Notamacropus eugenii: one gene and its partner. The protein of the gene in region 2 purifies or fractionates together with the protein of the main gene of each other region. This does not show direct contact. Links are inferred from orthologs where the notes say so. Each region holds a gene or a part of one and is shown on either strand. Other genes may lie near its edges.

What was found. The genes of interacting proteins can lie anywhere in the genome.
Region 1: the proteins of WWC1 (region 2) and AMOT purify together in Homo sapiens (affinity purification with mass spectrometry; 3 studies listed by BioGRID and IntAct, with this or other methods). This does not show direct contact. The link is inferred for Notamacropus eugenii from reciprocal best matches to the Homo sapiens genes WWC1 and AMOT.

The regions. Positions count from the first base shown.
Region 1 is NC_092879.1:97,025,751-97,035,424, forward strand, and holds the start of AMOT (angiomotin), read left to right. Parts: upstream 1-4,886; 5' UTR 4,887-4,995; intron 4,996-9,674.
Region 2 is NC_092872.1:399,337,127-399,347,000, reverse strand, and holds the start of WWC1 (protein KIBRA), read right to left. Parts: upstream 3,877-9,874; 5' UTR 3,721-3,876; coding exon 3,602-3,720; intron 1-3,601. UniProt on the Homo sapiens protein: Regulator of the Hippo signaling pathway, also known as the Salvador-Warts-Hippo (SWH) pathway.

The DNA of each region.
Region 1 (9,674 bases), on a different chromosome or scaffold from region 2:
CCCAGCCGAGCAACGGTCTCGAACTCTCTCCCCTAACTGTCTGTGCAGAAGCCTGCTGTGCATGTGGCCCAGGCGCCCAGTTATGGACTCGACGACTGAATTTGTGAGGAGCCAGGGGTGCTGATTCCAGTGACAATCGGCATAGACTGGCAACAGATAATGAACTTAGAGCCAAGGGCAACCCGGGTCAAAAGAGACGGGGAAGAAAGGGACCCGGGCTGTTTGGCACTTTCTCCTCTTAGCAGACACTTTCAACTTTTAGATTTATCCAGTGCATTTGGAGTGAGGGTGGGGGGAAAAAAGGAGGAATAGAATGTTATAGTTGTTCCAGATGTTCATGGACTGATCGCCCTCCCCCCCCCCCCCCCACCTCCCATCCATAAATCAGTCATTCTTCAAGGCTGGGTGAGAGGTGCCCAGTGTGGTAGAGTGAAGGGCTCTGGGTGGAAGGGGCGTCTAGAGCCATGAGTTTGAATCCCACCAGGTACTTCCTTGCTGTGGGACATTGGACAAGTCATCCACCCACCTTATGCCTCAGTTTCCTCATCCTGTACCCTGGGAATGTTTCATACTTCTCACATTTGCCTTCAAGGAGTTGTGCTGGGAGGTTTAAACTAGCCAGTGCCCAAGCTGTGAGTGTCCAGCCCTGACTAACCAGGCAGCCTCCCTCATTCCAGAAGCTAGGACCACATCAGGTTAGGCTTGTGGCACCCATTTAGGGGACACACATTTGGAAGGCTCAGCTATGCTCTTGTCCAGTCTCCTCGAACAGCACCCTCATCAGGTTGCTATAAAGTAGTTTGAAATTGGATTTGGGGCAAAGGAGAGGTGGGGAGGGGCTCTTCACCTCTCTGTTATTTTTAGGACATCACTAAGACCATGACCATGGTTGTGGTCCCAGCCCAGCTCTGAGCCTCTGAGCCTGTTTCCCTCCCCCCACCCCCCCCTCCACCCCTCCACCCCCCGGCCCCAAGATATGTCCGATTGCCTTTTAGAGTTTTTCTTTGCTTGACTTGGGGGAGGGGAGGGGGAAGGGGAGGGCTGGCACACAAGCAGGCAGGGGAAAGGGGAGGTTATTGGGTGCCAATTTTAAAGGGTATAGCATTTCAGATCAGCTGGAAGAGAAGAGTTGGACTGACCAAATTGTGCATTTTCTAGGCAGCCTGGGACTCATTAATGGCCAGGTGCTTCTATGGAGTGGTTCCTTCCATTTCCAGCTGCTAACTCCTATTTTCAGCCCAAATCCAGAGCCTTGTATTCCATGCCTGTTGGGTGACCTCAACTACCATTTTCTGTACCTCTACTTTCCACAGACCTCTTTCTTTGGAGAAGTTACAGTATCAGTGGGAAGGTTCCTAGATTGGGGAGGGGGGGAGGGCATGGAAAGAATGCTAGGAGGGCATTTAATATGATTTCCTCATTTTACAGAGAAAAATACTGAGGCCCACAAACAGGGCAAGACTTAACCAAGGTCACACTTCAGTGAATGACGATTCTTGGTTACATGATCCAAATATGACATTCGAAGCCCCAGTGGAGAAAGTAACTGTTTTCTTTGAAGTGCATTCTCCGTATTGCTCAAACATGCTCTGGGCATGAGCCCATGAGAGCAGGGGTGTGAACACACACACACACGTGCACACACACATATATATACACACACACACACTTAAAAGAGCTCTGATTTAATACACAGGAAGGCACTGATTCCAACCCTTCATGCAGTTTTTTGTCTTTGTTTAAAAAAAACCAAAACCTGTCCTTTAGTGTAGAGACTAGTGTAGATACTCAGAGCATTGCCTGAGAGGTAGGAAAAAAAAGTGACCTGAGTGTGTCAGTGTGAGGACTAGAACCCAGGACTGAAGGACTCTAAGGAAATCTCTCCATCCATTAGGAAACACGGTCGTTTTTCCCACCTTCATTTCCTTAAATCTTTTGAAGACTTTCTACCTAACAGGTTGAAAATATCCCTTGTACCCTTTGAGTGTTGGGAGTATCTTGTGTTGCCCAGGTCTGTGGGATGACGCATGGAACTATTTCAACTTTTGACATCTTGTTTTTCTATTCTGCAGAGTTGAAGTTTTTTAAACAAAACCTAGTTGAAAATTTGGCGGGGAATGCTGTCTTTGAGGTTGGGGACTTTTTAAAGACTAAGATAGAAAATTCTTTTTTCTAGAATGGGATGAGCCCTCCCTGAGCCCAAAGGCAGGGGCATGGCCTAGCTGACCTCTTGATCCCGGACACATCAGCCTCTGTGCTTCCTTGCAGGGTCTGCTCATCCTTTAAAAGGGTGGCTTTATAATTCCTCAGCCCTTTCTTTCTGTCATTCCTCCACTTAGGAATGAGGCTTAGGGAAAAGTCCAGCTTTTGAAGGCATTCCCCCTGCCCCACCCCAATTTGGATGCAAGATGAGTTTCTCACATTTTTCCTTCCCCTTGGGTCTCTTCAGTTTCTCCCCAAGATCTGCAGTTCTGTGTCAAGGAGGGGGAGGCCGATCTTGAGGAGATGCAGAGAAATGCTTGCAGCCAGGTACCTTCCTCCATGGCGACTGAGCATTTGGAATGCACCCATCGAACCCAGTTGAAACCCATGGGAGTGATGGGGGGGGGGAGGTCTTTTAGAATGGTGACTGGGCAAATGTACCCAGGCTGCTGGGGCTGAGCATCTTCCCTCCCCCCCCTCATTCAGCTGCTGCCAAACAAGTGACTTGCTAAGTTACAAGGAGTTCCTGTCTGTTCTGAATGGAGGGTTCTCCCCCTTCTAACTGGTGTGTGTGTGTGTTTGTGTGTGTTTGTGTGTGTATGTGTGTGTGTGTGTGTGTGTGTGTGTGTTCCACCTTTGGCTCCGTTTCTTTTGCTTTCTGAATGTCTCTGAAATCAAGGGCTTCTTTCTCCACTCAGAGGTGCACGTTTCTCCCCCAAGGTCATCATGATGACCAAGTGAGAGGGTCTGGGTGAAAAGCGTTTGACAAACTTCTGAGTGCCTCTATATGTAGAGGGTTCTGTTATTGTTGGAAGAGTCAAATAACCAGGGTGGCCACAGGGTCAATGACCAGAGCAGCTGGATGTCCTAGGTTTGAATCCCACCTCAGGTGCTTAACTCAGTCTCAGTTTCCTCATCTGTAAAATGGAGATCTATCTCCCTGGGCTGTCCTAAGGGTCAGATGAGGCAATGTCAACTTTCTAGTCCTACTATTGAGGCCTCGAAGCAGTCCCCTCCCCCACCCATTCCTATTGATTCCTCTGTACCCTGAGAGAGGAGGAGAGCCATCTCCCTTGTCTGCTTCCCTCCCCCTTATGTTTTGGTGAAGATGAATACTGTAGACAGGCTAAAGTGAAGCCCATAGTACACTAGTGGGAGTGGGCCTTTGTGTGGAGGGGCCCTCGAGATGCCCCAACTCACCATTGAGGGGCCCCTGGCTTTGGGGAAGAATACACTGGGGCTTTGTCTAAAATAACCAGCTCCCTTTGAAAGAGCCTTGCTTTACACCAATTCAATTAAGCAGCAGCAGCAGCAGCCGCTGCCGCCACCGCCGCCAAAATGCTGCCTTTTCAGGGCCACATCTGGTATTGGGGGCCTACTTGGCAAAATTAGCAGCAGCCTAAAGGCTCTGGTCTAGGTGACCCAGCAAGATCCTGAGGCAAGCCTGCCACTCCCAAGTCAGGAACAAATGACCTTTGCTCCAGGGGTTCCCTGTGAGGGGAAACTGTGATGGCTCCCTGACCTTTTCTGGGAAGAAAAGAGACTCCATAGGTTGAGTGATTGAGAGCTGGGAGAAGCAGGGGAGGCTGTGAGGGAGGGGGGCACATGGCAGGGCTGCTGTGTTCCTTCTTCATAGAGGCCAGAGCATTGGGGTTCTAGCACTTCTGAGCCGACGTTCTTCCCCACGTTTTTACAGGGAGTGCAGGGTTTTGTGCCCACTGCAACAGAAGGACACCTCATTAGGCAATTACTGCCATGGATTCCCTATGTGACCTTGGACAAATCCCTTCCCCTTCCACAGCCTCAGTTTCTTCCTCTGTCAAAAGAAGGAGTTGGGATAGGCAACCTCGGAGCATCCCATTCTGAGCTCCTCCCTACCCTTCCCGTATGGGCCTCAAATTCCTGCTCTTGCAGTGTGAGGCTCGCTGGGAGTCTGGAAAAGAAGATGGGGTGGGGGAGGGGGGAAGAAGAGGGAGGGGGCAACGGAGGAAATGCTCCACCACCTCTCTCCTAGGCTGGCTGTCTCGGACAAGGATTAGGTTTGGTCTGTCTGACCCCAGAGGGAAAAACTGAGAGAGGAAGGGGAAGCTGGCTGTGAATCAGTGAGCATTTATTAAATGTTGCTTACTGTGTGCCTGGCACATTGGTACGTGCTGGAGAAACAGAAAAAGCACAGACTGGCCCCTGACCTCTGGGAGCTCATGCTGGACCGGAGGGGACATGTATACCTAGAGATCCAGGGATCCAGAGGGCATAGATGTAAGGTAACCTCAGAAGGGAAGGCTCCAGCAGCTGGGGCTGAGGAGTGGAGGGAGACGGAGACAGACAGTCAAATTTAGGCTTGCTGTCAGGAAAGTCTTCCTAATGCTGAGGGCTAGCCCAGAGTGGACGGGGCTGCCTACGAAGGAAATTCAGTTTCTCCTCTCTCCTCCATTTGTCTGGCCTATAGTGAAGGGACTGCTTCAGATCTGGCTTGGACTAGGTCGTTTCTGAGGCCCCTTGGGGTTCACACTCCGTGCCTCCATGGGGGTGGCCTTTTGCCAGCTGGTTTTCTGCTCGGGCCTCATGTGCTTTCCTGGGGTGGCCATTTAGGTGGAAAGGTAAAGCCTGGGGGAGATGGATGCTAATGATATTCCCTTTAATGCCTGTGCGTTCATTGCCTTTCAGTATCAGGTCTCTGAGGAGGCCTCCCTGTGCATGTGTGTGCCCGTGACGTGGGCCCAGTGCATCCTGTGTGGGATCTTGTGCGGCGGTGGTGTGTTCCGGGAGTGCTGACAGAGCGTTGGAGCTTTGGTGAGTTGGCCCCACTGCATTCTCTGCCTTTGAGGATGCTTATGTACCCGCCAGGCCATCGTTTTCTAGTTGCCCCACAGGGAAAGGCAAGGTTTGCGGTTTGCTCCTAAATCATCCGGCAGTGCTGCTTAGGGCAGGGTGTCATGACACCCTGTAAAGACAACCTCAGCCTGGGTGTGCCAGGAATGCTTCGGGAATGAGGGAGGCCCAGGAGGGAGGAGGGGGGGGGTGGGAAACACAAATCACTTTCTTTAATGACCTTGAGAATAATGGGACCTGTCGAAATGAGATTTAGCTACAGGAAAGAGACAAAGAACGGGAAAAGCACTTGGGCAAGCTTGGCAGGTACTAAGGGCCTCGAATCAGGGACCTCTGGGAGGGGAGGTTCAAGGCCGATTTGCCGTTGCCGCTCTTTGCTGCTTTTCAGGAATGAGCTTTTTTCTGGGATTCTGGCAGAGAGCCTGGGCTTGTGGTTGTGTGCTTGGGAGGTTGGGGCAGAGGGCAGCTGGCAGGGAGGCCTGCCTCCATGGATCAGGACATACCTGAGCTGCGAAAGGTAAAGTTGCTGTGACTGGGCTACCTGGGATTGGCTGAAGGGAGGAATGATGGGAGGAGCTTCCAGTGAGTGATGGAGTTTACCATCTTCAGCCTGGTGAGTGAGTGACCTGTCCCATCCAGGGCTAAGCCCTTGGCTTGGTTGGCTGGGTTGCCAGGCCTTCTGGGAACTCCTGACAGACTGGCACCCACTTCTAGCTATGGCTGAATAAAACCTCCATAGCAGTGAATTCTGGGATTGCCTTGCTGGAATGGGATGACCAGGACTCTGAGGTTTTGGGGAGAGTCTTGGACTCTGAAATATGAGGTCTTCAGTTCCAATCCCTGCTCTGTCAGTTGCCGCCTATATGACCTTTGGCAAGTGGCTTCATTACCCTGGGCCTCAGTTTCTTGCTCTGAAAAGGATCCCATTCTCTAAGGTCTTTTACATCTCTAACTCTAGGATCTCATGGTCATTAGAGTAGATAAGCTTACAGAGTGCAGACCTAGAGGCAGCTACATGTAGGCCAATGAGTCAAGCACTAGGTTTGGAGTCAAGACGACCTGAGTTCAAATCTTTCCCCAGATACTTATTATAACTGTGTGATCCTGGACAACTCACTCAACCTTTCTCAGTCTCAGTGTCTCCATCTGTAAAATGAGGACAATAATAGCCCCTACAACTGGGTCCCAGTTAGTGCAAATAATGATCATATGCTTTCAAATTCACACTATTCAAAGTTAAAATTTTTATAAAATATGGCATTTGGTTGTAGCCCAATAGAAAAGTGCAGTGGGAATTCAAGTGACCTGTTTGGGTGGAGGATTGAGAAAGACAGTAAATGGAATGTTTATAAATGGGAGCTATTATTTAAAAAAATATCTGCAAAGCCATTCCTTTGACATTGCTAGCTTTGAGATGGTGACTTGTCATCAACTCAGAAAGTGTTAATGTGGGGACTGGGCAGCATTTGAAGGTACATTCCCAAAGCCACCCTGATTTGCTATGTGGCCTGGGGTGACTCAAGTTCTCTGGGCCTGGCTTGCTCTTCTATGAAAAAAGAATGGGAAGGATTCATAGAGATTCTGAGGCTTCCAACAATCTGGGCCTCCATGTCCTCCTCTGGAAGAAGTACTTCTAAGATCTCCCTCTGAATCTATGATTCTTGATACACATCAGACTTAGTGATCTAGTGAAAAGGCTTTTAATAAAAAAAAATTGGATTGTAAATTTAGAGCCAGATCTCTGAGGTTTGTGAGCCCCACTCTCCCATTTTCCGGAGGAAAACACTGAGGCTGACAGAGGAATGTGAGTTACCCACAGTCACACTGGTGGCTGGAATTCTAACCCAGTCCCCCTGATCCCCCATTCAGCCTTACCACCTACTATCGTAGGGTGTCTTTTTAATGAAGTTGGCTTTTCTTCTGATCCTTCACCCCTTTCTTCTAGCTGATGTGCAATGCCCTGTGGCAGTCTGTAGCCAAAAGTGATGGTAGGTAGGATTGTCCAGCCCTGCTCTCTTGCCTAGCCCCTCCCCGCCCCCTCCCTCACAAGCAGGGGCTGTGAGGCCTCATCCCTTTAGGTGAATATCTTGCTTGATCCACAGGAGAGCTCCTTAAGAAACATCTTGCAGAGCAGTGAGGACTGGAATGTGCCCAATGAAGGTTTTAAAGCTTTTCAGCCTTGTCCAAAAGATTAAAGAAAGGGTGTGGGGGAAGGGAGATTCGCTAAGGGTGGCGGGGAGGGGCAAAAGTCAAGCTTTTAGAGGAAGATTTGCCTTATGTCACCTATTGATGGTAGCCAGGAACTGAGGCCTGCCTCACCACAACTGGCTTTTATCAGGGCTACCAGGAGCACACGCATTGCCATGCATGGCAAGCCGTCAAGGTGGACAAACCGAGAAGGAGGATTGGGTGTCTGTGCACCCCACTCTACCCACCCCACCCCCACCCCAGCATCTGGCCCACTCCCTGACTGCCATTCTTACACAACCCCCTGCCCCGAGAGCATGGAGCTTGACCCCCCCCCCCAACCCCAGTAAGGACAAATGATGCGCCAGAAGCAGTTTGCTCACTTTTCCTAAGGTCGCTAAGGCTGAGGCACGGAGAGGTGTTCCCCCAAAGCCCGTCTTCCCTGCACATGGTCCTCATTATCCCAGAGGCCTGGACTCCATCAGAGAAGGAGCCGAGAAACCCCAGGCCTTGGGGTGAGGGAGGAGAACATGTTTGGCATATTTGTGGGGAGGGGGTTGCTGACATCACAGAATGTAGTGGGATGAGTATTCCCAGGGACAGCGGTGAGACAGCCGAGGTTCTGGGGGTGCTCTGATTGTTTCCTTCCTTCTTTGCTTTCTTTAAAAAGACAGGAAAGAGACCATACAAATGTTGGCCAGGTCGGACACACTTTTCTGAAATTGTTTGGGGAGAGTCAAGTCTGAGACTGGCCCTTAGAAAACTCTGATGTGCCCTGCCCCCTTCCAATCCACTCAACTCCACTCATTTGGGCTATTTCCAAAGAGTAGAAATTTGTACTGAATTAGTGAGATTCCTTCTCCCCAAAGCCCAATCAAGATCTAAATCCCAGACTTGGGGGCCAGCATTGTGCCCTTGGTAGCAGAGATGAGCATGGATATATCTGTTTGGGAGAAATCTGATTTCCCTGTCATTCATTTGGCCTCTCTCTTCTGGCTTCCTTGCCCTCTCCTTCCTGGGACCTCACCGATGCCTGGTGGCTATGATGGACGGTGGCCCAGGCTGGTGGCTTGGCTGTCCAGAACACATCCAGTCAGCCACATAACATTTGAGGTTGACTCTATAAGACATTTGTGTTTCTGACCAGTCAGGTCATGGGGTGTTGGCAGCCCAATGGCAAGGTTCCTGGGCCATTGATATCCTTCTCTATATTATGGATTAGAGGGAAGGACAGTATACAGCTTGAGGTTTGTGGCCAAGGCCTGAGATGATAATTCTTGGTCTCCAGGTCCTTTTGGTGCTTTCCCGGATCAAGCAGGTGTTGGGATTCTTTGAGAGAGGAGAATGTTGGCTGAAAGATTTCCCTGTGCTTGAGGTGATTTCCGCCCAAGCTTCCCTGGGCAGGCCAAAGAGCCTGTGGAGTTGGATCAGGACAGGTAGTGGCAGGAAGGAAGGGAAGGGGTGGGAGGAACCAGTCTCCCTTTCCCTCCTCTTCTCTCCCTCCTCTCTTCTGCTCTGCCTCATCTCCTTGGGGAGTGACTCAGGCCCTTTGGTATGAACTTCTGGAACGCTGGCTTCCAGCCCTGCACCTGCTCCATGGCACACCTGTGCTCACCCAGTACCTGAGCCAAGGATTCAGCGTGGCAGAGTGAGTCCCTGAGTGTGTGCTGAGCCTTATTCCCCCCACCACCCTGGCCCTCACTCGGCCTCGAAGGCTGTGTGCTGACCTACTCTGCTCTCCTTGGAGGCCAGCCTCTTGGGAATCCTAGGGGAAGATTTGTCTGTTTATGAAGGACCCACAGACCAGAGCTGGGAGCCTTTGGAGTCCTGGTTCCCCACCTGTCCCACTTGGATAACTGAGGCAGACTCTGGTTTACAGGTAGAAATCCACCAGCCCCTTGGGTATACAGGGGACAAAACTAAGCCCAACGGGAAAGAGACTTTGCCCAAAGTTACACAAGGAACAGCATGGGGGCTTGAACCCAGCACCTCCAAACTAAGTTCTCCCTGGGTTTCAGTTGCCCTAGTTGTTAAGTAGGGAGAATGTGCCTGCCTTCTCTTCATGGGATGGATGTGAGGGAAAAATGAGCCCTGAGCCCTTCAGAAGAAAGTGGACCCTCTGAGAGTACAGTGAGCATGCATCTGGGCCTGGCCTAGCCTTGCCTCATCTAGGCTCTGTAACCTCTGGCTTCTGCCCCCTCCCCCTTCCCCCAGACTGCTGTGGCTGTGGCAAACATCTTGGGCCCAGTGCCTTTTCCCCATATGAAATGGCTGGCACCGGTACCTGGCTACATATACCACCCACACACATTGTACTGCTCAGCTCCCACTGGACCGCTTTGAGCTGGTCTGATCTAGTCTACAGATCTTCCTCTGGCTTGAAGCAAGTGCCACTGACCATTGAAGACAGGTTCCACTTAGCCCTTTGGCAAGTAAGGTGTGCCCACAGGTGT
Region 2 (9,874 bases):
GGTAATGCTGGGATCTTTTTGGATCTTTTTACTCCAAATCCAGTATTCTTTCCCATCCACCACAAAAGCCTTTCTTTTTACATGTGAGGAAACTGAAGAGTCAGAAAGGGGAAGTAATTTGTCTATAGCATACACTACTAGAACACAGTTGCTGGTAAGCAAGTCATCAGGAAAAGGTCAAAGGATAAGAGACCTAGAGTTGGAAGAGATTTCATCTAGTCCAGCCCCCTCATTTTATACATAAGGAAACTTGAGGCCTAAGAAAGTAAAAATGACTGTCCCAGTCACACAGGGAAGGGTTTAAATTCAGATCCTCTGACCCCAGAACCAATGCTCTTTCCATTGTATCTTGCCCCACCCCACCCCCATATCACAGGATCACAGATTTAGAGCTGGAAGAGTCCTCAGTAGCTTTGTAGTCCAACCCTCATCATTTTACAGATGTATTAATGTACATTTGTACAAACTGTACAAATGTACTGAGGTTAGGTGACTCGTCCAAAGTCACCTAAGAAGTAAATGCCAAAGGTGGGATTTGAACTCAGGTCTTCTGACTCCAAGGGCAGCCAGATGGGGTAATGGATAGAATAACAGGCCTGGAGTCAAGCAGACTCATCTTCCTAAGTTCAAATCTGGCCTCTGCTGTGTGACCCTGTGCAAGTCACTTAACCCTGTTTGCCTCAGTTTCTCATTGATAAAATGGGCTGGAGAAGGAAACGGCAAACCACTTCAATATCTTTGCCAAGAAAACTCCAAAATGGGGTCACAAAGAAAGTCAGACATGACTGAAATGACTCAACAACAACTTCTGACTTCAGAAGTAGCGTTCTTTCTCCTGCCCTACACTACTTCCCTAAATTCCACACATTCCCAAATCAGATGACATTCAGAATCAACACAATTCCAAATTCTTAAAGCCAGCATCCTTAGAATCTACACAAAAAATCATAAGACCCAATTCCATCTCATAATACTGAGCAATCCATATCAGCAAGGGGGCTAGTCTGCCAGAGGAAATGTTTTGTATCAGGGCCTCCAAGGGGTGGAGATTATAGAACTAATAGGATGTTAGAATTGGAAGAGAGTTTGAGATTATCCAGTTTAACCCCTCAACAAATGAGCATATTTATATTTGTGTAGAAGGAGGGGCAGCAACTAGGGTTTGAATCTTTAGGGATTCCCAATGCCCTGGAAACCCAGGAACATACATGTGGATGCTTAGGTGGATCTGGAGAGGGTTCCCTTTGAGAAGTGGGCAGGGGAAAAGAAAGTTTCTGAGATCTTGAGCCCTTGGCTTCTTCTGAGAGGCCATGGCAAGAAAAGTCTGAGGGCACAGCTGATCTGTCTGATGATTCTAGAACAGGGTCACTGGTATGTGTGACCATGCAGTATGGTACAGTGGAATGAGTACTGACTCTGGTATCAGAGGGCCTATGTGACCTCGTAAAAGTTATTTAACCTCTCTTGGGCCTCAGTCTTCTCATCTGTAAAATGAGGGGGTTGGGCTGGATGGTGTCTAAGGTTCTTTCTAGTTCTATATCAGGAATCCTATAGAACTTGAAATAAATATCAAATTTCTAGCATGAGGCAGTGAATAGAGTATTGGACTTGGAGTCAGAAGAGCAGGGTTCAGATCTTCTCTTAGACACTTACTAGCTGTGTGACCCTGGACAAGTCACCTAACCTCTTTAGGACTTCCAGTTCTAAATTTATGATCCTATGATCTTATGAAAGCTAAGAAGAAAGAAATGAGCAAGGATTCATCAGGATAGCCATCAGTGAAAGAGTATCGAGTCTTGGATTCCTGGTGCCTTCCCCTTTCAGCTGACTTTCTAGGGACTTCATTTTATAGGTACCTAAATGCCACAGGGCACTCATACCAGCTATGAGGGATCCAACCTATATCATCTCCATGGGTCTTAGTACTTTGTAGACCATAATACCAAAGGTAGATAGGGCATTTCATATTGGATACTTTCAAAGACCACTTTGGAGAAATTGGAACCCAAAACGCACTGATTGGCCAGGACTCTCAGAAGTGGGGAACAGTGAAGGGGCAGCCCCTTGGGCCTTCTCATCATCTGCCTTTTAGCAAAAAAGGGGAACGTAAGAGAATAGGCACTTTATTAAGCGCTTATTATGCGTCAGACACTGTTCCAAGCACTTTACAAATATCTCCTTAGAAAAATAAGCACCGAGTGTTGCTCGGAGGAGGAGGGAATTATTGTTCCCACCAGGGCCAGGACATATATATCCCTGCTCCTTCTAGTGCAAAAGCATGGGGTGAGAAGTTCTAGAGTGGGAAGAAAGAGGAGGAGGAGGAAATGGTCACAATGGGTACAAGAGAGGCCTCTCACCTCCATTAACATTATAACAGCTTCCAAGTAGCTGTGACATTCTTGGTGAGCCAAGCTGCTCAGCCCAGGTTGCAGGCTATCTGGGTTTCCCCACCCTCCCTCATAGCCTCCCCTCTCACTCATCTTCCTGTCATTTCTGCTTCCTTTCAGCTCACTGGTTGCCTCCCCATACCCCTGCCCCCCCCCCAATTCCTTTATGGGAGCCTTTGATGGCCACTTGAGTGTGTGATAACTGCACAGACCTCAGCTCCCTAAGGCCTAAGGCTTCTTTACTGACTCAATCCCTGCTTTTCCCTTGTATTCTCTTAGTCCTTACCACCTTCCAGACCTATACCTTATCCATCTACTTCCTCTGGGTACTGACTTTTTCCTAGGCCCCACTCCTCCAAACACTCATATTTCCCAGATGTTGGGGAACCACACTCTTTAGAAACTCTAGCTCTAAAAGGCCCTGTTGTATTCCTAAGGACATCTAGTCTGTCCAATCTCTCCTTTTTTTCTCCAAGTCTTACCTTTTTACTTGCTCAGGTAGTTCTGGGGGCAGGGGAAAATAATGGGACAAGACTGGTGGGGGCATTCTTGAACAACAACTAGTTACTTTCCGAGAAAAGGCCCTGTAGTTCAAACAGGTGCACTCACTGATGTTTCCTTGTAGGAAGAAGCTCCTTGCCCTACCGTCTGGAAGATGGGAGGAGTGTGTGTAAAAGCTTGTGAAGTGAGTGGCCTCCGCGAGGTCTAGGACAGTTAAGACCCCCCAACAGTGACCCCTTTCAACTCTTAAGGTGGAAGAGTTCCTCTGCAGGAGGGAAGCGGAGTTTTCCCCTTCACTGGAAATTGTCAGTAGCCACCCCAGACATCTGAGCATCCCCTAAGTCTTGGGAAACCAGGGAGGGCTCTCAGGAGCAGGTGCTTGGCCAAGAAGATGGTGGAAGCCCTGCCCCGCCCCCGCCCCCAATACAGGCACCCGCCAAAACATCAAAGCACATTTTTAAAGGCACCAATCTTATCGATAAAAGAAAGGGCTGGGCTGGCTGATCCCTGAAGTCTCCTGCAGCTCTAGGGTGCTCTGCGAAAAGGAAGTCTGACACCTGCCCCTCGGATACCCCAGCCTCGAGTCACCCCACCCTCGGGCGGCCTCCTCCCCTTCCCCCACCGAGTGGGACTGGAGGGGGCAGGAGGGGTGCCACCGGGAGGGCCCCCAGGGCGGAGGGAGGGCGATTCTCCCGCCGCCTCCCACGTCCTACCTGTCCCGCGGGTCGATCCAGCTGGTAGTGCGACTGGTGTGGTCGATGTAGTAAACCTTGCCATCAAAGTCCCGGGCCTCCTCCCAGCCCTCCGGCAGGGGCAGCTCCTTCCTCGGCATCTTCCCGAGCCGGTCCGCGCTCCCCCATGCAGCTCCCGGCTGGGGGGGCCCGGGGCTCAGCGGCGCCGGCGGGGCTGTTCGGGCCCATGCAGCAGCGGGGGCCCCATGGCCGGGCGCGGCGGGGGGAGCGGCGGCCGCGGTGGCTCCGGCCCAAGGGCAGCGCGCCCGCTCCTGCGGCACAGCCCGGGGCGGCGGGGGCGGGGGGCGGGGGCGGGCTGAGGCCGGGCTGGCCGGGGCGCAGCCGGCACCGGCACGCGGGCACGGGGCGCCGAGGGGGGACCGGGAGGGGGCGGCGCTAACGGGTGCGGGCTGCGGCGCTGTCCATTCGGCCCTGCGGCCCCGGCCCGGCCCGGGGCTCCGCTCCGCCTCCTCGCTCTCTGCTCACCGCAGTCCTCTGCCTCCCTCGCCCATGTGCCGCTCGGCTCCCCGGCAGGCGAAGCGGTGCAGAGCGTGCGCGCGTGTGGAAGTGGAGCGGGGCGGGGGTGCGGAGGGGAGGAGGGAGCCGCTCGCCAGCCGCGGGCTCCCCGGCTCCGGCCGCGCGGAGCGGGCGCGGGCGCTAGCGCCGGAGCTGAGAGCGGGCGCCAGCCGCCCCGGGCACTCCGGGCTCCGGGCTGCCTGTCCTCCGGGCTGCCGTCCTCCGCGCGGCTCTCCCGCCTCGCTGCCCTCCTCCGGTTTCTGCGGCGGTCACGGCAGCGACTCTCCCTCTGCCCCCGCCTCCGCCAGGTGCTGCCGCGGTAATGCAGGTAACCGCGCTGCCCCGGAAACAGCGAGCCGGGAGGCGGGGCGCAGGACGCCTGGGTTCCCTTGGCTCCCCAGCCAAGCCGGGTGCCAGGACCCGTGGGGCTCTAGCCCTGGGGTCACTGGCCTAGTTCTTTGGGACTTGGGCCACATGGCGAGACCTCCGGGGCCGACCTTCATGTGGGGGCCAACCCTCGGGCTGGAATTGACCTCATTAGCCTTGGCTCTGTCCTCCACTTTCTTCATCTAGATAAGTGAGAGAAGCTGCAAGCAAGGCTTCCCTTGTCCTGGCTTGGTGTCTGAGCCTGTGACTGCAGTCGTCTAGACTACACATCTGGATGCGCTTCCACGAAATCCAGTTTTCCCCACATGCCATCCTCACTCCTCCTGCCTTGTGGCAAACTTGGCCAGCGCTGTCCTACCTTTACCACCTACCATGTAAAAGTAGTCAGTCCCCACACGGAGAAATTCTAGCATTCGTGAAAATGAATCAGAGAGCCTGGATTAAAATCCTTCCCCCGTGTGACAGTGGACAAACGGCTTAACCTCTCTGAGCCTGAGCTTTCTCTTCTGTGAATCAGGACTAGGGCTTCCGAGTTCTCTTCTAGTTCTACCCTATAATCCAATGGTGTTTTGTCAGATTCTGCCCTTGCTTTATCAGTCTGTTCCTCTCATCCAGGGGTGGGGAACCTTCGGAGTCAGTCAAAGGGTCGCCCTTGAGGACCTAGAGGGCCACAAGTGGCCTCGAGGCCGAAGGTCCCCCACCCCTGCTAAACTATCTGTGGGCCATTCACTGGGTTCCCCTAACCCAACAACTTTTTCCAACTCTTCCTGTCCTCTCTTCCCTTTTCTTTGTATTTCAGAAAGCTCTCTTGTTTCACATCTTTCAGGTGGCCTTCCTTAATAAACTGAAAGTACGGAAATGGCTTCGTGTTCACACATATCTTGTGTGATATTCATGTTACTGACTAACAATAGCCATTTTATTTCGGGATCTCTTATCCTGACGTGTTAGATGGTAAGGGGCTGAGGCCTGTTCTCTATTTCTTCAGTCACCTAGTACTCAACTCTTTGTGATCTCTCAGTCAACATGAATTGAGGGAAGGAATGAATCTAACATTCGTTTCAGGGTCTCTCATGTCTACAAGATGTTCCCACTATACCAAACCTATCCCCTACATTTGACTCATATGTCAACAGGATCATGGATTTAGTGGTAGAAGGGATCAGTTAGATGAAGAAACTGAAACCTAGAGACAAAATGTCTTGCCCAAGACCACCACGGTAAATGGTAGAGATGGGATTCCAACCTAGGTCTGATAAACTCTAAATCTACCCTTGTCCTTCAGCTTTTCCCACTGTGGAACACTCTCTTTCTTTCTCTCTTTCTCTCTCTCTCTCTCTCTCTCTGTCTCTCTCTCTCCCTCTCTCCCTCTCTCTCTCTCCCCTTCTCAAAGTGTTTTTTAATATCACAAAAGCCTGATTCTATTGGCTGAAGCCCTTCCCAAAATGTGACAGGACAACAGATATCAAACTCTAAGGTGGAATATACAAAGTACATCCTAAACAGTTCAAAGTTCTCCCAAGATCCCACAGACATATATCAATTCTCTCTGGGGGACAATCGTTCCTCTGTCCCTTCCATTCACTTCCAAACCTGTCTTTTCAAAAACAATCAGATCCTGCCTTAGATAGTTAATAGTTGTGTGATCCTGGTCAAGTGACTTAACCTTTATCTGCCTCATTCCTGAATTTGTAAAATGGGGATAATAATAGCGTCTACCTTCCAAGGTTGTCATGATGACAAAATGAATTTTTTAAAAGGCTATATAAATGTTAAATGTTAATTATTGTTATTATTATTATATAGACAGATGGAACAAGAATATAAAGAAGAGAGACATGGTAAAATAAGAATTAATATTAATATGATACTTTAAAGATTTGTAAAGTATTAAAGCATATACATACTCACACACTTAATAGCCTAAAACTGTGTTAACAGTTTTGGAACACCCTAATCACATTCTAGTTTCACAACAACACAACTGTCCTCTGAGATAGGTACTACAGATGTCCTCATTCTACAAATGAAAAAAAGTGAAATAAAATGAAAAAAAAGCACAAGAGAATAAGAAGATAAAATATCTTGTTGGACAGTCCCTGTACTGCAGTATTATATTTCTTTAGGATGTCCATAGAAAGAGAGAAAGGTTCCCAGCACGCTGAATGGACGACTAGTGGTGAATGGATGGATGGATGTGGATCAGAATGGCATGAATGGGGTATGATATATACATTATTGGAAGATCACAGATCCATCCGAATATTTGAGCAATATCCAATTGGCTTGACCATGATCAGTTTTACTAATTGTTTGTTTTTATCCTTATTTTTATTGCTGTCATCATTTCTGAAGAAATCCCTCCCTCTCCCCTATCCAGTGAGCCATCTCAACTAATAAAATTTAAACAAGGGAAAAAACAATATTTCAGCGAAACAAATCAATGCATCACTTGTGCCTGACATACAGTATTCTACCTCCCTTGTCCCTCAACTCTGCAAAGGGGAGAGGATTTATTTTTCAACCACTGCTTCTGATTGTTAGTGGCTAAAAATGAAGGGATTCACTAGATAGTAATTGATAGGTCATATTCTAGTAGACATAGCTTATGCTTTAGGTCTACTAGATATCTAGAGGATTTTGTGTCCCTTTAAGTACAGCAAAACTTCTAAGTGCTACCCTTTCCCTCATTTTTAAAAATTTTGAATGCTTGTGTGAAATATACTTCAATAGAACTGTGATGTTATCCATGTGATTACTCCCTCTCCTCATGAATATCTACCCATCCATGCCTTAGATCACGACTGGAAGGACATTAGAGTACATCTTGTCTCATCCTATCTGTGTTCTTCCAGTAAGCTTTCTGAGGTCAGGGACTGTGTTGTGTTTCTCTTTCCTAGATTGTTGGATGTACATTGTGTGTTGAATGTAGCAGAGGACATGAACAAGAATAGGACAGGATAGGCAGACTTGTATGGGTTGTGGTCCAGAAAGGCAAGTTATACAGGAATATGTTAGAGAGAATATTCCATAGATAAGATCACAGTTCCTGGCATGTAGGAGATGCTTAACAAATATGTGCCAAATCCTTCCATAGATCCTTCACAGAGGATTAGCTTCTAGAAGCCTTTTTTAGGTCTTTTCACATTTTATGGGTACCAGTCGAGTTCTGTCAGTCAATCCATTTGTCGTCGGTTCTACACGAGATGCCATCCCTGTCACCTGACTGGCCCACTGCCTTTTCTCAGTGTGTGATTCATCAGTGATACCCCTTACACTGTTTCTTGCTTTAGGTTACCATTGGAAATATGCTACCACCTACTTGTGCCTGCCATGTGTCATTCCATTGCCATTTAAATTCCTTAGAGATTTTGATATTCCCACCACATATATAATAATCTCATCACAAGTCATTTTACTAGGTTAAGTAACAGGAGGGCAAGGTAGGAAGTAGAAGGAAACTGGAGGAGTCAGGAGGGATAGGAAATAAGAGATACACACAAACATAAAAATAAAGATCCAGTGTAGAATTCGTTAGGGAAAGTAGATGTCTATATACGTATGTATGTATGTATGTATGTATATATATGTGTATGTCTATACATAAATATATTCTCACTTAATTGTAGCCTGGGGGGAGGGTAGGAAGGAGGGAAAAAGAACAAAGTAAAAAGTGCACAGAGAACAAAAGAAAACTTACAAGGAAGCAAAGAAAAGATGGACAGCTCTCAAAACAACATGTAGTGTTTATCATACAGGTTTTCTTAAAATGAAAATTTATTGCTATAGATTTTGAAACCTCTTATGTTTTGTTGTGCACATAACATGCTTTTTTCTAAGTTTATGATGTGTTTTTCTTTTCTCTATTTTGTTCTCTGAGTTCTAGTCTAAGAGAAAAAACTAAAAAAAGTAATTTTTACTTTGTCTTGTTTGGCAGCAGACTGTTTTTCTTGTTAGTTTTGATTATCAATCCATCAAGAAGTATTTATTGCTAGGTGCCAAACCCTAGGCTAGATGCTAGGGATAAAAAGAAAAAAAAGAAAGACCTCCTGCTCTCAGAGAGCTTTTTTGGGGGTTTAGGGGGTGGGAGAGAAGAGGTGGGAAGGGAGGAGACAATACGTATACAGGAGATCTTGATATGAAATAAATACAGCATGATTTAGGGGAGGAGGCATAGGCAGCTGGAGAAATCAGGAAAGGTCTCCTACAGGAAGTGGCATTAGAGCTGAATTTTGAACTTCAAAGAAAACTAAGAATTCTCTCCCTCCTCCATTTCCATCTTCTGGCTCCTTTGACTTCCTTCAAGCCCATCGTTGGGAATATGCTAAGATCTCACCTTGGCAAGGAGCATCTCCTGCCCCCCCTTCAATGATTGTGTCTTCCTTCTGTGATTATCTAGAATTTATCCTGTCTATATTTTGTTTGTACACAGGGAAGGAACCAAACACTTATTATGTATCAGCTATGTTCCAGGCATCTGAGGATCACCACTGTGGGAGGGAGGTACTATTATTCCCATTTTAGAGTTGAGACAACTGAGGCAGACAGAGGTTAATGACTTGCACGCAACTAGTCTTTGAGACCAGATTTGAACTGTTTTATTGATTTTAGGCTCAGTACTCTCTCTAAGTACAGATATCTGCCTCAGGTATCTGTAAATATACCAACTTTGACCATGAGATCTTTGAGAGCAGGGACTGTCTTTTGCTTTTCAGTATCTGGCACTTAGATGCTTAATAAATGCTTATTGATTTGCCCAGGGATTCTAAGAAGTGGAAGTGAGGACAGAGTATATTCTGGTCATAAGGGGATAGATAAAAAGGGATGGGAGATGGAGTGATGTTTTAGGTGAATGACAGCAAGAAATTCAGTTTGGTTTGACATTAGAGTGAATGAAATGGAGTAATATGAAATGTGCTCAGAAAGGTAGGTTACACAAGGGTATTTCTAATGCAGTCATCAAATGTTAACCTTCCTTTAGGTGCCCATACCATTTATTTCAAAGGTGTCTACCTTCTGAATCATGGGATGGGGGTGGGAGGGAGAAAGAGAGGCGCAAGAATTGACTCATTATCACTCTTCTCTCCATTTCTCCTGGTACCATTCCTTAGCTCTCCACCTCCCTCACTACAAAGCAGTCCTGTGTTATCAAAAGCAATGAACAGCATGAGGTAATGAAACAGATGACTGGTTGGCTGCTGCCCTGTGAACCCACAAGATGGCTGTGTGAATCATCACTAGGTATTCTGTGAACCTGTGCACCATTGTTGCAGGACTACGTGAAAGAGATGAAAGGTGAAACCGGTCAGCCCACATGATATGCAGCATTGGACATCATTCCACAGGTGATTG